2 linked regions of the Solanum lycopersicum genome follow. The protein of the gene in region 2 interacts with the protein of the main gene of each other region in a pairwise test. Links are inferred from orthologs where the notes say so. Each region holds a gene or a part of one and is shown on either strand. Other genes may lie near its edges.

What was found. The genes of interacting proteins can lie anywhere in the genome.
Region 1: the proteins of transcription factor E2FA (region 2) and DP1 interact in binary tests that used the Arabidopsis thaliana proteins (3 or more experiments, as listed by UniProt). The link is inferred for Solanum lycopersicum from reciprocal best matches to the Arabidopsis thaliana genes E2F3 and DPB.

Annotation. Positions count from the first base shown.
Region 1 is NC_090809.1:59,414,761-59,417,936, forward strand, and holds part of DP1 (transcription factor-like protein DPB), read left to right. Parts: intron 1-1,454; coding exon 1,455-1,517; intron 1,518-1,600; coding exon 1,601-1,747; intron 1,748-1,859; coding exon 1,860-1,928; intron 1,929-2,063; coding exon 2,064-2,162; intron 2,163-3,176. UniProt on the Arabidopsis thaliana protein: Involved in the regulation of the G1/S transition. Increases the DNA binding activity of E2F proteins after heterodimerization.
Region 2 is NC_090800.1:2,212,603-2,216,576, forward strand, and holds the start of transcription factor E2FA, read left to right. Parts: upstream 1-1,174; 5' UTR 1,175-1,386; coding exon 1,387-1,629; intron 1,630-3,455; coding exon 3,456-3,645; intron 3,646-3,817; coding exon 3,818-3,868; intron 3,869-3,970; coding exon 3,971-3,974. UniProt on the Arabidopsis thaliana protein: Transcription activator that binds DNA cooperatively with DP proteins through the E2 recognition site, 5'-TTTC[CG]CGC-3' found in the promoter region of a number of genes whose products are involved in cell cycle regulation or in DNA replication.

The DNA of each region.
Region 1 (3,176 bases), on a different chromosome or scaffold from region 2:
GGATAGGACAAACAAATTGAAACGGAGGGAGTATTAATTATGAGATGATTCACTAAATGGCTTTTGGGTATCAAAATAATGTCTCACAAGGGCATATAATTTATGGTTTTTCTTCCTCAGAACTAGTAATGTGGTTGTTTCTGTCTTCGGGTTATGTCTTGATATTAATCATGTCCATGACATGAGCAGTGAGATGTATAATATCTGTTCTGTTCATTGAATTAATAGATTTACGGTCATAGTTATTATTCAAGAAATTGGTGCATAAATTTTCTGTAGCTTAATCTAGTTTTTTTTTCTTAAGGACATCCTTATACACAAAAAGCTGAAATACTTCAACTGTAAATTCTTTAAGCAAGTGCAACACTCTATATAGCCTCATAATAAATATTCAAAAGAGAAGAAATCACTGTAATGAATGCCCAACATAATTTTACAGATTATATCAGTTAAAGAAACTCTTTGAGCAGGGTTCTTGTTTTTAGCTTGTAAACTTCAGACTCATTGAACTGTTATCTATTTTTGGCCCGGGGAATTCTATAGATGTTAGGTAATGTAATTTTCAAAGAGTTATCCCCACACCACCTTTAGGAGTGACATTTGTGGTGGACAAGATGATGGAAGCGAGACTGAGATGGTTTGGGCATGTAAAGAGGAGATGCACAAATGCCCCAGTGAAGAGGTACGAGTTGGGTATAGTGTGGGAGACGTGGAGGTAGGCCAAAGAAGTATTGAGGAGAGGTGATTAGACAGTTAAGATGCAACTTCAGCTCATAGAAGAACATGATCTTAGATAGGGAGGGCATGGAGGTCGTGGATGAGAGTAGAAGTTTTGTAGGTAGCTGAGTTTGGTCTCACTTTTCGGTGGGATTTGTCTTGGTGAGAGTCTGCCGTCGGGAAGCACCGTGATGGTCATAGTATTAGCCTTATACATGTAGTATCTCACTTTTGATATCTGTTACCATCTGGTGTCTTTTGTGTTTCAGTTGTCACATTATTTTGCTGCTACTGTTCCTTTTTCTAAATGCTTTGTACTACTTTCTTTATTAATCAACATGTTTTCTTCACTTCGTTATTTCTTATTTACAACTACTATAATTTGTTGTAATTGAGTCGAGGGCCTCCCAGAAACCTATGTTTCTCGAACTCTCCAAAACTGATGCCACACTCGTGTCGGATTCTTCAAAAATACACTACTTTTGGATAATCCAAAATGCACCCATCACAATTTTTAGAGAGTCCGAGCAACATAGCCGAAACAGCCTCTCTGCCTCCTGCGCCCAGAAACTTGACAAGGGTAGTTGTACTTCTGTTGTTGGCTTCTAAGGACTTATTTGCACTTTTAACTGTACTCTAGCATTTTCTACGGCTGATTTCTGCTTGCTACATTCTCCTGTGTTGAACAATTTGCTTTTCAAGGGATTTCTGATCTCAGAAGTTAATGTCTTGCTCAGGTTGCAGATGAACTTGTAGCTGAGTTTTCTGATGCTACCAATAGTGTTGCAGGCTCAGATCAGGTTTTTCTCCATCCTCGCGGTTCATAAATTTTTAATTTGTTCGTTTTCAACAATAATATTAGTTTGAACCTTTATTATGACAGAAACAATATGATGAGAAGAACATCAGACGACGAGTCTACGATGCTCTGAACGTACTTATGGCTATGGATATCATTTCTAAAGATAAAAAGGAAATACAGTGGAAGGGATTACCACGCACTGATGCAAATGATATTGAGGAGCTAAAGGTTTGATTTCTCTAACTTTCTTCTTCCTCTTTTTTGTTGCATTCAATGAGCCATCACTTTTGGCACACATCAGTTGATCTATGTTTAATCTAATCTCATGTTGTAACTGCAGACTGAGCGTCTTAACTTGAGAAATAGGATTGAAAAGAAAGCAGCTTATTTAGAAGAACTTGAAGATCAAGTATAAATTCTCTCTAAACACTATCTTTAGTTCAATCTTAGAAATAAGTTTGGTAGTCTTTCGCAATGCTGATGCATGATATCTTGGTCCTGTAATCCTTATTCTTTTTACTAAACTGTTTTCCTTTTAAAATAGTATGTAGGGCTTCAAAACCTCATAAAACGCAATGATCAGTTGTATGGCTCAGGCAATGCTCCTAGTGGTGGTGTGGCTTTACCGTTTATTTTAGTGCAGGTAAATGCTCAACAATCATCTATTGTTATTTGTATTGTTTAGCAAATTAGTAACTATCTGATATAAATCATTACATTCTTTAATATGTCATCTCATGATTTCTTTTGTTGGAATTAGTTTAATCTACAAGCAAGGCAAGTAAGCTCGGGGCAACATGCTTTCCTCAACTTGTCTTAGCTGTACTTGAGCTCAAGTGAATTTTGACCTATCTTAGGCCGTATAAATTTGATATTAACAAAAGCTTATTGCTTTTCGCCTACATTTGAGCATAGGCTTCTTTCTAATAATAAAATCAGAAGGATCACTTCTATATAAGAATGAGAAGACAGATATAGGATACCTCTGGTCTCTGAAAGAGGAGAAAAGAGGAGAGGTTTTCTCTATTTGTAATTATTTTCACAAGATGTATTTGTACAGAAGAGAATATGTAAAATATTATTTTTCAAAATCATCTTCACAATACCTTTTTTTTATCAACTTATTGCCCTGCAATGAGGTGTGAAAGGTTGGCTACGGGGTGTGTGGGGGGTAGAGGTAGAATTATGCTGAAGAAGTGACACAATTGCAACTTAGCGAGGACATGGCCCTAGATAGGATGATATGGAGGTCGAGGATTAGGCTAGAAGGTTCGTAGGTAATTGAGCGTTGCCTTATTTTCCTTATTAATATTATTATTTTCCTAATATCTTAGTCTTCTATTTTATACTTACCTGTTGTTTCCTTTTTTCTAGTTATGGTTTATATGTTGTTGCTACTGGTCCATTATTTTCCACATGGCTTTTTGATTGCTGTTTTCCTTCTCATACTGATTCTTTATGCTTCACTTGAGCTTGAACCAGTGTCTATTTGAAACAACCTCTCTACCTTCAAAGATAGGGGTAAGGCTGTGTACACACGACCTCCATAGATTCCACTTGTGAGATTACACTCGGTGGTCTTGTTCAACGAAATATTGTCCCAAGACCTACTTAAGATTGAGTTAGTTAATGAAAATGGGTGAGTTATAACATGTGA
Region 2 (3,974 bases):
ACAACAACAATATATTCAATGTGACCTAAAAAATGTGACATATGGATTATGGAGGATAAATTATAAGCAAACTTTACTCTCATTTCATGTAAGGTAGATAGGTTTCGGATAAACACTCAACTAAAGAAAAATATTTTTTGTAGAATCTACGATAATAAAAATGCAAAAAAGAGAAGTATCTAAAACAAAAATAATAAGATTATAAGAAAATATAGGATTAATAGTAGTGATTAGTATAAGATGGGAGTAGAAAAGTTGCTCCTACTATTAGGATGGGCATAAATATTGAAAAATAGAGGAATTTAAACGTAGTTTTATCAATGTACGTTACGTAAGAAACTCATTTTCATCCTTGTCCTCCTCGCGCAGCAGAGTGACGCAATAATTAAGTACAATAACTGTTCCATATTGACGAGACACGTCATCATTTAGCATAGTTTTAAAGATTCTTAAATATCTCACACTTTTTTAATTTTACCCTCGTTTTATATTCTTCATTCTCATCGAAAAATTCATTTTTAAAAACAAATTGAAAAAAAACAAACTGAATTGAACTAGTTTGGTTCGGTATTCAGCGCACACTTTTTCAAAACTGCAAACAAAAAAAGTTGCTCCTATTATTAGGGTGAACATAAATATTGAAAAATAGAGAAATTCAAACATATTTTTATCGATATACATTACGTAAAAAACTCATCTTCGTCCTTGTCTTCCTCGAGCAGCGGCGTGACACAATATTTAAGTACAATAACTGTTCCATATTGACGAGAAACATCAATCACTTAACATAGTTTTAAATTTTCTTATATATCTCACACCTTTTTTTTTATTTTACCCTCATTTATTCTTCATTCTCATCGAAAAAATCATTTTTAATTGAAAAAAACGAACCGAATCGAACTAAGTTTGGTTTGGTATTCACTCCACACTTTTTCAAAACTGCAAACCAAAGAGCCAAACGACGAATGGCGAACGCCACCCCTACCTACTAGAATCATGTTTCTTCGACGTAACTTTCTACCCTAATTTTTGACTTCCGTCATTTGATCGCCCAAAAAAAATAAAAATAAAATAGTAAATTTTTTACCAATAGAAGGGTCAAATTGCAAATAATAAGTATTCATATGGACCAAAATGAATAAAAACAAAACATTAACATTTTCTCTTCCCTCCACATATATACAAAAACCAAAATTCCCTCCCTTCCCTCGTTTTCTCCTTTTTGCCTTTCACAGAGAAACCCTTACCCCCTACCCCCCCCCCTTACCCCCTACCCCCTTTACCCCTACCCCACCCCCACCCCATCCCCTCAGAACCCTTCTCTTCAACAATCCAAAAATCTTGAGTTCAAAGGGTATATCTTTTGATTACAAAACTAGGGAAAAAATGACAGGTTCTAGTGCATCCACTGGTGGGGCGGCGCCACCCACTGCTCAGTCATCATCCGCCGTTGTAAACGGTGGAGGGAGGAGTCAGATCTCTCATCCGATCAAAAGATACTTACCCTTTGCTTCTATGAGGCCACCTTTTGTTACACCTGAGGATTACCACCGATTTTCTATACCTGGTGTTGATTCTAGAATTGGGTCTGCTAGTTTGCAGCCTGAAGCTATTGTGGTTAAGTCACCTGTGAGTTTGTTGGATTCTTGTTTGAGTTATTAGTGTTGTTTTTTTATGGGGATTGCTGTTTGATTTTGTGTAGTGGGTTTTTGTGTTTTGAAATATGGGAACTTTAGATTAAGTAGTTGAGACTTGAAATTAGATGTTTTGAAGAAATATATCTTGTGGGGTTTGATTAAATGTAGCTAAAAAGATGTAATTTTGAGTTGAATTGTTGCTGTTTTTGTGCATTTTGCAGTAAATAGCATTCTTGTTTGAGCTTATAGTGTAGTTGTTGGGGATTGCTGTTTGATTCTAATAGTGGGTTTACGTTTTGAAATATGGGAACTTTAGATTAGAGGTGAGATTAAGGAGTGGAGACGTAAATTAGAGATTTCGAAGGAGGATATTTTGTTAGGTTTGATTAAATGTAGCTAAAAAGATGTAATTTTGAGTTCAATTGTTGCTGTTTCTGTGCATTTTGTGTTTACTTGCATTCTTGTTTGAGCTAATAGTGTAGTTGTTGAGGATTGCTGTTTGATTTTATTAGTGAGTTTTGCATTTTGAAATATGGGAACTTTAAATTAGAGGTGGGATAGAGTAGTGGAGACGTGAATTAGAGATTTCAAAGGAATATCTTGTGGGGTTTGATTAAACGTAGCTAAAAAGGTGTAATTTTGAGTTCAATTGTTGCTGTTTTTGTGCATTTTGTGGTTACTAGCATTCTTGTTTGAACTAAGATTGTCGTTTATGGATGCTTTTAATTGGGATTGATGTTGGACTTTGGTAGTGTGTCTTGCCTTTTGAAATGGAACTTCAGATTATAACTGGGATTGATTAGTAGAGACATGAATAAGATATTTTGAAGAAAGATATATTGTGGGGTTTGATTATATGTCGTTAAAAAGGTGTAATTTCGAGTTAAGTTGTTGCTGTTTTGTGCATTTTGTGGTACTTGCGATTTTGTTGATCTGCAATATTTGTATTTCAATGTGTGAATAACTTTTGAGGCTAATTATTGTGGTTGGAACCTGGTATTGGGTTTGTTAAGCTAATGGATGGTATTTGGTATGTAGCTAATTGGCTTTTGTTGGGTTAAGATGTTAAGCTGCCTTTGGTTTTTCATTTCTAATTTCCCCGGAGGTCATTTGCCTCTTGTTAGCTGAAACATCCAGATACTGCTGGCTAAATTTGGTAAAAAGGAGTAAATGAGTCAAAGTGAGTTGGTTGTGATTTATGCTGTTCTGTCATTCATGTTTGCACACGTGACAACCAATTTGGTTACATAGTTGAACATGTAATGTAGCTTTGTTGATCTTATAAACCTCATGAAACCTGAATGCCATTTTCTTTTTGTATGTGGATATTATTGGTGTCATTCATGTTTTGAGTCCTATTGATAGCTAGAGAAGATTGAGTGGGAGGATTTTTATTGTTTGTTCATCTTCAGAATTAATTCCTTTGTTTAAGTAACAATTGGGACTTGTTTGTGTTCTCTAATTAGTTAGCACTAAATTAAACTGAAGCTCTGTTAGTTATGGCTTTCCTTCTATAGGTATATTATTTTAGGTGTGAAAGGTTTAGTGCTTATGTCTTGGAACCAGCCTCTCCATAAGGAAGTTATCTGTCTACAGTCACCTTCCCTGGAGCCTGCACAGAGGGAGCCTTCTTACACTGCTGTCCACCCTTGTTGTTTATAGTTTGATAATTGTGTGCCCAAGTCAAGAATTTTTTAATTCTATATACTCTAATTTATCCCAGGGAAAATTCAGAGTTTAGTCGTAATTGTTCCTCAGTTTGCTATGTTTTACTTGTTGATCACTTATTTCTACTTTGCACACTTAATGCGCCTGTAGGCACTAAAGCGGAAGACAGGCTATATTAAAGAGGTTGAGTCCAGTGACTGGACTGCTAATTCCGGGTATGCAGATGTGGCCAATAGTCCTCTTGGAACGCCTGTGTCTGGAAAAGGAGGAAGAGCACATGGACGGTCAAGAGCCACAAAAAATAATAAATCTGGACCTCAAACTCCTGTCTATAATGCTGGTGAGGCTTGTGTCTAATTTTTTATGTCTTGATTGTAACTGGACACGAGTAAATGTTCAAATTTTATTTCCCTCCGCATCTATCTAAACGTTATTTATAGAAAACGGTCTGTACTGTCTTGGTTGCACTGGTTTATATGGTCTTAATTAACTTGTGGATTGCGATTTCGCAGGTTCTCCTTCTCCCCTTACACCTGCAAGCTGCCGCTACGACAGTTCATTGGGTATTCCATGATTTTTTGCCCAGGGATTGATTTGTTGTAAAAGTTTTTATGGAAAACGTGAGTTTATGGTGGAATAAACCCAAAATTGAATCTTCTGTTCAGGTCT